Canis lupus familiaris: one gene and its partners. The protein of the gene in region 1 binds, or shares a complex with, the protein of each later gene. Links are inferred from orthologs where the notes say so. Each region holds a gene or a part of one and is shown in the gene's direction. Other genes may lie near its edges.

Region 1 (4,292 bases):
CCCCTTGATACCTTTACGCACCAAGCAAAAAGGACACAAGTATACATGATGCCAGCACTTAGCACTGCCAGAGAAGTATCTGGTGTTTGCGATTCCATTTTACTCAGGCCAGGCACGCACAGAGTGTGATTCTGTCCTTGAAAGATTACTGCAAAAAGGCAACAGAAGAAAGGTGGTAAGGAAAAAAAGAGCTAAGTATTTGGTATGAACAAAAGGTTTTAGCAAGGGGAGTCCAGGTCCAGTCCTTACCACTTTCTGGAGGACGGCTGGACAGTGCAGAGAAAGTCAGGTACATGATGTAGCAGCTGATGATAGAGGCTTGTAGAAGGCCAGAACGGGGTTGCTCTGGGGAGAATGGAGATCATTGCTTTTGTCTACAGGGTAGTAATTTCTGCTCATATCCATCTATACTTCTTTCACCCACCCTTTGGAGGAAGCAGACCATTGACTAAGATTAGGGAAGCTAACGAATTTTTCTATACTAAAGGCCTTCCAGATTTGGAATGCTGCAAGGCATGTACCCACTGAGGCGGATGCAGGGAGCGATGGAGAGGAAGGAGAGGAGGCCACAGAAACAAAGGTGCAGACTAAGCAGCGTCTTGTTGAGCAGGCAGCCAGCTGGGTGTGTGTAGTGGTGGAACAGGAGCACAGCTGCCACACCTGCCATGGTGTAGAATCCCAGGGCAGCCAGCAGTACAGCTAGGAACCAGCGGCAGTCTTGGGCTGCACCTGTCTGCCTAAGGGTGGGAGGTGGGCAGTGGCTTGGGGCTCCAACTCTTTACCCTTTAATAAACTATTCCCCCCCCTGCTCCCGGAACACTGGTGTGACTACTCATCCCACCTAGCCTACAGAGTCCTCATGTTTCTGAGCTTTTTGGCACTGTTCAGTGGGAAGTTAGGGGGCCACTGGCCTGTCATGCGTTTTGCCCAACCCTACTGGGTCTAGTAATGTCAGACAACCTTCCCAGGAAGAGCCTTTAGGATTAAGTGCTCCTTACCAGTTTTTGTTCCAGGAATGGGCAAAGGCTGTGATAAGCACCAACTGCAGCAGGATGAACGTGAACCCTCCACAGATACCAATGTAATGCCAGGCTGCAAGTAGGGGGCACCAGTGGGAAAATGTAGCTGACCATGTCATTACTCCTGGTTTTCTTCCTACCCTCTCTTTCTTAGAAAAGCTATTAGCTTACTCCTGCTGATTAGGATATGAGATGGAAGGTACCTGGGAAGAGATGCTCATCAGGGATGCAGAAGGCAACAGCACAGAGACCTAGCAGGAACAGCAGTTTGAGGATCCAGAAGCTGGTTAGGAGACAAAACAAGACTCAAGAAAAGGCAAAGCGGAGTGAACAGTGCCTATGGAAGAAGGCAAAGGAGAAAGCAAAACTATAGGAAAGGGAAGAGAAGAGACAACTAAGTATAGGAAAGGAGGAACCAGTCCCACGTGAGAAGGGCTGGAAATAGGCCCATCACAGCTTATTCCAAATTCTCTCAGATACCTAAATAATATCTGGACAGTGTTTCACAGTTGACAAAGGGTTTGCATATAATAACCCCACTGTTCTCTCCATTTTAGCAACTAGAAGTTCAAAGAGGGTAAGTATGTGGCTCATGGTCACACAGTAAGTATGGCAGAAGCAGGAGCTTAAAGCTGTTTTTGGAGTTTTTACACTGCTGTTACTTCATCTTGGAATTTCCTTTACTCAGCCTATGTCTACTTTTCCTCCCCAGTCTCACCCCACCCAAAGTATATATACACAAACCTGTTGTGGAGCTGTGCCCGCAGGCTGGAGGGGGAGTGGAGCTGGACTAGCAGCATAGCCTGCAGTAGGTGGAAGGTGGCAGTTCCTGCGCATACTCGGTACACAGCTCCAGAGCCACTGAGCACTGGGCAGTGAGTGTAGCCAAACAGATGGACACATAACCCTGAGGGCATCTGGATCTGGAGGAGGAGAGTGCATGTGAGAAATAGCAGGGCAATTCATGAATAGAGAGGTACCTGCTTCTCATGGTTATATCCATTCAGTTGTCCCCTACCCCCCAATCTGAATTTTTTGTCTATCTGAGGGTTTCACCTTTCACTCTTGGGTTGCAACCTGAATCCTCCCTCTTACCCCATGTGCCTTCCCCCAGATTCTTTCCATTACTGTCCTTGACAGCAGGAGGCAGCAGATTGCTGAGGACCCCAAGTGGAGGAGGATGTAGAACAGGCGGCTACAAGCAGACTCTGTGACAAGGGGCCATCTAGAATGGCAGCTGCAGGTACAGGGAACAGGCTCACAGCAGGACACCTGGGGATAGAGCAGCAGATGGAGATTTGCTGAGGAAAAGTTTAATGTATGTATTAGGTTAACCCATGAGGCTGAATTCCAAAATTTCCCTTTCGTTTTCTTCTCTCCTTTCACTCAGGAATTCTCAGAATCTGGTTCCAAGCTATTTAGGATTGCCTTCCACTGACATCAAGTAGAGCTTTCATCATAAGAGCTGATACAGGCTTGAGCAGACCTTCCTAAAAGCCTAAGTCACACCTGGCCTCTCACCTTTCTGTTAGACCTATAGACCTGGTACTGGGAAGTGGGACAAGAGGTTTAATTTCAGGAGCTAAGAAAAGGAAAGGCCTCAGAGGGGAAAGGAAGGCCTATCATCTTTATTGGCTCCCTGGGTTTTCTTCCCCAGCTTCAGCCACCATTCCCTTCCATTTTCTTAGTTCCTGCTCTAGGGACCTTTCAAGCCCCTTTGCCCAAGTATGCTCTCACCTGATAGAAGGGAGGATTCACCATGATATTGCTGATTCCACTGCGTTGTGCCAGGTGGAGGGAGGTGCTGGGTTCTGTAACTGCCTTGGCACCCACCATCCTTGTCCCAGGGATTAGGCCCAGGTCCGCCAGATGGAAGTAGGATGAGAAAGTAGCTTTTTTTTGTCCTCAGCCATGGGCTGCCACGGTGCTGGGGGGTGATCACCCAGTCTAAAGGAGTATGAGGAGGGACATAACGAAAGGAACACCAACCTCCCGGATGTGGTAAATGCAAATGTCTCTGTAAAGCTACTTTCTTTGCAGGGCCTTTGGGCCACACAGGCTGTTCTCCCCAGATTATGGAGCACTTTGCAAATCTGGCCTCTAGTGGATTAGCATCCTTAATTGGTTTAGGACTAGACGTCATCCATCCTGGTTGAACAGAATTGATGGGGGCGGGATGGATTGGAAGGGGTAGAATCTAGGTGAAGAGAAGCTAAGGATGTCGGTTGGTGAGGGCCGGAGTAATGACGGGGTAGCTGTGTGGGAGGGCCTTGCAGAAAACAACACTAGAACCCCTACAGGAAGTCTGAGAGGCAACCCTCCTTCCTGACTGAAGTTTCTAGAACCCAGAACATTAGTGAAGGTGTGGCCCGAGCCCAGCCCCGCCTCATCCTCTCCGGGCGGAAGTTTCAGGGCAGCTACCGGAAGTCTTGGTGAGGTGGGGCGGGGCCTGTGCAGCGGCACGGTGGGATCGATATGGCTACCGAGGGGGATGTGGAGCTGGAGTTGGAGACTGAGACCAGCGGCCCGGAGCGGCCTCCCGAGAAGCCACGGAAGCATGACAGCGGTGCGGCGGACCTGGAGCGAGTCACCGACTACGCGGAGGAGAAGGAGATCCAGAGTTCCAATTTGGAGACGGTGAGGTTGGCCGTGAGCGTGTCTGGGCGGGCTGATAGCGGAGGGGCCTCTCCGGTTCTAACTGGAAGCCCGGCTCCAGGACAGGGTCCCCATCCCGTTGGCGGGAGGAGGCAAGAGGGAAACCGTCACTGGAGCCCGCCGCTTGCGAAAGAGAGTTTGGTGGAGATTGTGTTTAAAGTGGACCTCACGTGCACAGAATTGAGTTAAACCTAGGCCTTGGTTCCTGATACACTCGTCATCATGAATAGACCCTCCCTGACACGCTTATTAGCTTTTTAGATTATTGGGACTTGCGGGTGACAGAACGGTAAGTAGGTGTTTTTCTCATAGGCCATGTCCGTCATCGGAGACAGACGGTCCCGGGAACAGAAAGCCAAACAGGAGCGGTAAGTCTGTGCGCACGGCCAGCCCTACAAGTTCCTCCCTTTTCCCCATACGAGAATAAAAGCCATTGTTAAGCCTTTGTACCTTGTACCGTTCTTCAACTCTGTCACCAGTATTTGCATATATAAGGTTTACAACCTTGTTGGAAAGGCCTCCTCCAGCTGCCTGTTGTAAAAAACTCCGAGGGGAGGGGAGGCGGATGTTAGGTGAGGGGTGAGAGTCATTTTGTATTTTCACTCAACAGCATTTGTC
Region 2 (4,359 bases), on another chromosome or scaffold:
CAGAACGCCTCACACAGGGATGCCAGATTGAAAACTCAGAATTACTGAGAAAGCACATTCGGAGCAAGCTTTAACAGTGACTCCGCAGTGAGGGCCCCATCAGTGAGAGTCTCTCCCAAGCCTGTCTCACCGGAGACGCCTCTGCCTCCAGGGTGTTTCCTACCTCCCAGCTTCCCAGCCCAAGGCTGAAGATAAAGACGGAGCAGGGCCTCTGCAAAAAAAAAAAAAAAAAAAAAAAAAGGGGGGGGGGGGCTTTGGGGAATAGGACCTGGAGACTACCGCGGACCCCGAGAAATGGCTGAACCAAACCCACTACCCGAAGCCCCAACGACTCCGAATAGGCAACCATAGTGGCCGCAGTCACCCCCAACCCTGGGAAAGGTGGACAGCTCACCCCTAAGTGGCGGGGGCGACCCCAGTGGGGGAAGCGAGGGTCAGGAGAACTGGAGAAAAGAGGTCCTAGCCAGTGCAGGATGACAGCAGGGAGGAAGCCCCGGACAACGGAGGCCACCGTTCACACTTTCCCTTCTCTTCCTCTTCCCACCCCTTCTCCTATTCCCACCAGTCGCCGGTTACCGGTCACCGCTCACCTGCCGGGGCGCGAGGTGCACAAACAGTACCGACCACGGACCAGAGGCTCTGTCACTGCGGGAGGGGAAGTCTTCAGCTGCAGCGGGGGGCGGGCCTAGGCAGTCACGTGACCTCGAGCTCCGCCCAGCCGCCCCCGGGGCGAGCGTGCCGCATCCTCGGCGCCTATCTTTTTGCGAGTCCTTCAAACATTCATCTCCTTGCGATGAGGTCGGAGGAAGAACACAAAAAACAAAACCAGAAAACTTTCACAAAGATTGTGTCGTAAAGTGTAATACAGAAGGCGTGCGTGAGTGAAACGGGTTAAAGTGCATTTCCAAGGAAGTGACGTTTCGGCTGGGATCCAGGGACCGGAAGTGGCGAAGGCGTTCTGCCGCCGGTAAAATCCCAGGCTTCAGCCCAGGCGATCACGTGACCTCAAAACTTGGATCGTGCCGGACTGCAGCCAAGTTATCCGGCCGATTGCTCGTTACGTTGGTCTTAAAAAAAAAAAAAAAAAAAAAAGTCTCATTTGTTTGAGTCTTCCACAGATGTCTTTACATTTAGAAAAACCATCTTTATAAAACCGTACTAGGAGGCGGGAGCGTTTGAAGGTCATTCTGGAAATTACCAACTGGAAGAACAGGACAGGGCCGGGGAAGGTTGCTCTTGCTGACATGGGAGAAGAGAGGGAAGGGTGGAAAAATCCGGATTTTACCGCCGGGGCCTACCGGGCACGCCCCACGAGGAGGTGTCGTAAGGGATGGGAGGAGAAAGGTGACGCCAGAAGCCACAGCCCAGTAGGAAAATGGAGGTCCTGAGGTGGAGGGGGAGGGGCGCGCGGAGGGCAGCAGTGCGGCTGCGCGCGAGGCGGCCGGCGCGCCGGCGCGCAGAGGGGGCGGGGTGAAAGGTCACAGCGCGGCGGCGGGTCTGGCGGCGGCGGCGGCGGCGGGAGCGGGAGCGGGAGCGGGCTGCCCGGGGCGCACGTGTGGAGGAGCGGCGGCCCAGCGCGGCGGCGGGACGCACCCCCGCCCCCTCCGGAGACGCAGGGCTGCGCTTGGCTCTCGCGGCCTCCGTCACCCGCTCAGCTCCCTGCCCTAGGCGGGGAGGCCGGCTGGTGGGGGTTGAGCGGCCCGAGCTGCGGGCGCGGAGAGCTCAGGTCGGCGACGACAACGGCGTTGGTAGCGGCGGTAACGACGGCCTCAGCAGGCGGGGAAGATGAAAGGGTGAGGAAGGGCAGCCGGGCAGGGCCCGGCGGGCGAGGGCGAGGGCGAGGGGCTGCGGAGAAGGGGAGAGAGTCTGGGCCGAGACGCGGCGGACGGAGGCTTCGGGGCGCCTCTGCTCGGCGGAGGGGGCGGGTGCTCGGCGCGGGGCTGTTGGCGGGCTCCGGGGCCAGCAGCGGCAAGACCCGGGACGCCCAGCACCGGGGCCCCGAGGACGCGTGTGGGTCGAGCGGAGACTAGCAGCCGGCGGGGGGGGGGGGGGGGGGGGGGGGGGGGGGGGGCACGGCTGGGCCACTCCCGCCCGCCTCTCCGCTCCCCTCCGCTCCAAGCCGAGTGGTCGGGCTGCCCTCTTGAGATCCAGGCTCACCCTGGGACCTGCGATCTTTGACACCTTCCAGCCGTGTTCACGCTTGGGAGCAGCGCAGAACCTTCTGGAGGGAGAAGGAATTGGAATAAAGAGCATGGAGATGAGTATGAAGAGCTAGTGACTCAACTGGATTTGGGTTGGGTCAGGGCGCGTGGAGGAGGGGGAGAGAGCGTGAGCTCTGTAGTCTTGGGGTGCCAAAATGTTTAAGGAAGTGTTGTTGATCAGTAGGTGGAGCTATTGCTCCAGTGGTGTGCTCTTGCCCCTGTGCGGTGGGGGGGTGGGGGGGGCCCTTGGTTCCTACTACCAAGCTTTTTTCAGGTGATAGCAAAACTAATATTTCTTTTTTCACAGTTTCCTTCTTGGATAAAATCAGGGACTATTTTGGCTCAACTCTTTTCCACTTGGATAAGGTGTCCCCTTACTGTTAAAATTATATACAGTTAAAATATTAATTACATAACACGACGTCTTAAAATAATTTCCTAAATTAACCGTTTTGGACCTCTCCTTTTATCAGCGTTAAAAGCTCTCTGGAAGAAAACAAAACAAAACAAAAAAAGCTTTCAGAGATGTCTGAGGGTTTTTGTTTGTTTTTTGTTTTTTGTTTTTTTTCTATTATAGCAAGTCAAAGACTTGGAACTGTGTTTTGAGTTAGTGAAGCCTTTCAGATGTTCAGCCTTTTGAGAATAAAAGCCAGTCTCTGAAATAATCTCATGCCGCCTAAAACAAGGCCCTCGGTGTGTGTACGTGATTGGGGTTGAAGAGGTCCAAGAAAGGTTAATTGGCTGTAGGTCTGTAATGTGATTCCTTAACTCTGATTTTGCTTTAAATATTGGACATTCAGTCTACTGTTGAATTGTCTGTTTCACGTTAAAGCTCAGAAATGAAATTTTCATAGTACATGCACTACAGAACATCGAGTTCTAAAGAGTTCCAGTCGGGATACTCTTTAAAGTATGGGAAGTATTTGTAGCACTTGAATCACGATCTGGGAAGTTTGACTATTATTATATATGACCCAACATAATTTAGTGGGGTTTTTCTTTTTTCCCTTGAGCATGGATGCTTTCTCTTACTGGTTTTTGTATTCTTAATCAGCACACAGTGTTTCTCATCTTGTTCTGTTAGAATACTAAAAATGAGGCTGAATAGTTCTTACAGTTGAGGCTCTACATGGGTTTATAAAGGAGGGCTTCCAAGAAGTTATTCTGGGTGTTTAGATCCAAAATCTTTGGTCTAGCTCAGTCTTGCTAGGGTGTAATGTTCTTTCGGATACCTACCTTGGCAATAGAAATGGGGTCAAACAGTGGTATTATTCACAATCTACCTTCAGTTAATACACTCATGAGGCAATTATCTTTTTATTTAAACTGTGATTTATATGTAACAACACGATGGTGGCAAATCCCCAGAAACAAGTAACTGGCCAAATCTAGAGGAAATTAATAGTTACTGAATTTATGCCGCAAGCCAGCAACCATCCCTAAAATGAAGAGTCCTTACGTCTAGTTCCTATCATTTTTTATCGGGAATTTAAAGTTATGTTCCTAATGTTAAAAACTTTTAAGATGATTTCACAGGAATAGTCCCTTTAACTTCCCAGATGAAAAATTACTAGATAAAATGGGACTTTAAATTTTTTTAAATTTCTAACTCTTGTATTTAAGGCACGGAACAAATGAAGACAATTGACATTATTTAAAAGATTCTGAGGTCCTGGGATCCCTGGGTGGCTCAGCGGTTTAGCCCCTGCCTTCGGCCCAGGGCATGATCCTGGAGTCCTGGGATTGAGTCCCACGTCGGGCTCCCTGCATGGAGCCTGCTTCTCCTTCTGCCTCTGCCTCTGTCTCTGTCTCTCTCTCTGTCTCATGAATAAATAAGTCCTTTAAAAAAATAAATAAAAATAAAAGATTCTGAGGTCCTTAAGTTCAAAGACTTGTAACACATAGTGTGGTTAGCGTTATAGTCCTGACTCTTGATTTGGAAAGGCCTATGAAAATGAAACCGTGGTCCTGAGTATTTACTAGAAACATGAAGAACATCTACCTCTAAGTCGATCTATTTAAATGTTTTACGTCATTGCCTATATTCCCCATCATTTTCAAACTTTTTAAATGTACTATTTTATCAGATTTTTCCATGTATTTATATTTATACTTTGTTTTTATTAGTAGTAGCAGTAGGACATTTAATAGTGTTGGC
Region 3 (2,284 bases), on another chromosome or scaffold:
CCCACTTGAGGACATGGGAGTCTCTGTGTGCCTGGCGCAGAACAGAGAAAACCTGGCAGGGAAGTGATGTGGTGGAAGCTGCTCGAAGGGGAGGCTGGGGGTGGAGGACCCCCAGAGACAGCTTCAGCTTCAGTTTGCTGGGGGTGAAGAGGGACCGCCAGGAAAGGCATTCAGGGAGGGGTCCTGATCTGGATATAGAGTCTCTGGTGGCCAACAGTTGTGGGGTCTCGGGGCTGGCCAGCTCTCCTAGGCCATCAAGTCCAACACCCTTCCAGTGGCAGGGTACCCGAGTGTGTGCATCCACCCTCCACTGCAGGCTTGGCCCCTAAGGTCCTCAGAGCAGGGGTCACAGGGCCTGGCAGTGACTGTCAGGAACCAGAGGTCCCAGCTCCCGTCCTCCTCCATTCCAGTGGCTAGGCCCAGGAGTCAGCCTTGGTTGCTCAGTGAGTGACAGGGAACAGGGCATGGAGGGAAGGGAACAGCTAATTCAGGGCTTGGGCTCACAGCAAACCACAGAAACAGATGTGTGGGAGCCAGCTTAGGGACACAGGACAGTGGGAACCCCCAGAGGGTGCAAGGCGCTGGGTGCTACTTGCTGCCTACTGCTGGCGAGCGCAAAGGGCAGGCCGCGTCGGAATGGGCTTGCTGTCTCCGTCGGGGAAGACAGACGTGCCGCCGCACTAGCGCAGGATGCCAGAAGACTGAGGAGACTTGAAACTCTGATTTGGGTCGTTCTTTTCTGCTCCTCCTGCCCCCAGGATCAGCGAAGTGGAGCCCAAGTACTACGCCGATGGGGAAGACGCGTACGCAATGAAGCGGGACCTCACCCAGATGGCTGACGAGGTGAGTGTCCCTTGGGGTGCCTGAGGCTGTCGGAGGCCCTCAGAGGCTGTGCTGCCCAGTCGGCGCCCCTTCCCCTCACGTTCTCAGCTGCCAGGCAGGGAGCAGGCCATGGCCGGGCTGGAAAGGAGGTATCACCCCAATGTTCCCTTCTCTGCCAAAGCCTGTCCTGTCTGAGGCGTGATGGCAGAGGAGAGGGAGGAGGCTCTTGGAAGCGCCCAGAACTTGGTCCCCTGGTCTCAGGGGTGAGACTCGGCTGGGCAGAGGAGAAAGTCAGGGTCCTGCCCCAGGCTCGTCAGGGGCCAGGGCCGTTCTGAGGGCTTGGTGGCAGCCCGTGTGAGGGAGGCATGTGCACGCTCACTCAGAGGAGATTGCAGGGCCCAAGAGGTCTCCTGCCCCAGGCCTGCCGCCCTTCATCCCCGGTGTGGGGGGCGGCGGAGGGCCTGCGTGCTCAGGAGACTTAGGTCCCGTCTCCCCTTCCGTCCCCCCGGGCTCCTGGCGGCAGCTGCGAAGGCATCTGGAGCTGAAGGACAAAGGCAGACACGTGGTGCTGGGCGCCATCGAGAACAAGGTGGAGGGCAGGGGCAGCTCGCTTCCGAGCTCTGGAGACGCCTGTCGTGACGAGAGAGGCCTGGCTGCTGACGATAGCGGGGGCGACAGCAAGGATCTCAGCGAGGTCAGCGAGACCACAGAGAGCACCGACGTCAAGGACAGCTCAGAGGCCTCTGACTCTGCCTCCTAGAGCCCGCACTTGCTCCTCACCCCACCCTGGCCTGCCCATCCTGTGCTCGCCCCTCGAGGTTTCCCAATAAACTTCCCCCAGTGGCCTTGGGGAGTGTGTGTGTGCGAGTATGCACATGGGGGGCGGGCAGGGGGCCACCTCTCTCCAGCCACTCTGTGTCCCTGTGGTTATGGACATCACAGCCTTTCAGCACCGCATGCCCTCCAGAGCCAAGTAGAGGGGATTTGGAGGTGGGGCTCCCATGTCTGATGGCTTTCGGCACCTTTGGGCCCGGGAGAGGGACACCCTGGAGTTCTGGAGGCTGGTCCCTGCCGGGAGGCAGATGCTCTGCTGCTGCCTTGCTGGGCTCCTGATGCCTAGAGTCCAGCTGCTCACTGGGCTTATCTGGTGCCGTCCTGTCTTGTCATGGCCCAAGCAGCCACCCAGTTGCTCAAGTCCTGGCAGCTGTCCTTGATTCCTCCCTCCCCTGCCATCCAGAAGATCGGGAAGTCTGGTGTGTTCGACTACCGTAATACCCATGGAATCTGCCCCCTAACCTAAGCCTTCATTTGGAAATAGTTGATAAACTTTATTTTTAGTACAGCCTTAGGTTTACAGAACTGAGCCATTGGATAGTTCCCTGGAACCTCCCTCCGGCCTCCTTCACCATCCCTGAGTTACTTTGTATCAAATGTTATATTTTGTATCAAATGTTACATGAGC

Evidence for each region.
Region 2: HYPK (region 1) and NAA50 share a complex: the UniProt entries of both Homo sapiens proteins name them as parts of the N-terminal acetyltransferase E (NatE)/HYPK complex. The link is inferred for Canis lupus familiaris from reciprocal best matches to the Homo sapiens genes HYPK and NAA50.
Region 3: the proteins of HYPK (region 1) and NAA10 are in contact, whole or in part, in a crystal structure (PDB 6C95), measured with the Homo sapiens proteins. The link is inferred for Canis lupus familiaris from reciprocal best matches to the Homo sapiens genes HYPK and NAA10. Residues at the interface, in NP_057484.4 of Homo sapiens: Lys27, His28, Ser30, Gly31, Asp34, Leu35, Arg37, Val38; in NP_003482.1 of Homo sapiens: Glu24, Tyr26, Lys29, Tyr30, Tyr33, Lys59, Glu134, Lys136, Tyr137.

What each region holds. Positions count from the first base shown.
Region 1 is NC_049251.1:10,827,160-10,831,451, forward strand, and holds the start of HYPK (huntingtin-interacting protein K), read left to right. Parts: upstream 1-1,440; 5' UTR 1,441-1,763; coding exon of another isoform or gene 1,764-1,942; 5' UTR 1,943-2,114; coding exon of another isoform or gene 2,115-2,291; 5' UTR 2,292-2,756; coding exon of another isoform or gene 2,757-2,855; 5' UTR 2,856-3,494; coding exon 3,495-3,656; intron 3,657-3,986; coding exon 3,987-4,042; intron 4,043-4,292. Other genes in the region: SERINC4 (serine incorporator 4), read right to left, coding at 22-148, 250-345, 526-737, 999-1,092, 1,223-1,302, 1,764-1,942, 2,115-2,291, 2,757-2,855. UniProt on the Homo sapiens protein: Component of several N-terminal acetyltransferase complexes. Inhibits the N-terminal acetylation activity of the N-terminal acetyltransferase NAA10-NAA15 complex (also called the NatA complex).
Region 2 is NC_049254.1:18,681,074-18,685,432, reverse strand, and holds the start of NAA50 (N-alpha-acetyltransferase 50), read left to right. Parts: upstream 1-1,508; 5' UTR 1,509-1,785; coding exon 1,786-1,793; intron 1,794-2,245; exon of another isoform or gene 2,246-2,261; intron 2,262-2,929; exon of another isoform or gene 2,930-2,948; intron 2,949-4,359. UniProt on the Homo sapiens protein: N-alpha-acetyltransferase that acetylates the N-terminus of proteins that retain their initiating methionine. Has a broad substrate specificity: able to acetylate the initiator methionine of most peptides, except for those with a proline in second position.
Region 3 is NC_049260.1:122,964,339-122,966,622, reverse strand, and holds the end of NAA10 (N-alpha-acetyltransferase 10), read left to right. Parts: intron 1-758; coding exon 759-843; intron 844-1,345; coding exon 1,346-1,582; 3' UTR 1,583-1,673; downstream 1,674-2,284. UniProt on the Homo sapiens protein: Catalytic subunit of N-terminal acetyltransferase complexes which display alpha (N-terminal) acetyltransferase activity. Acetylates amino termini that are devoid of initiator methionine.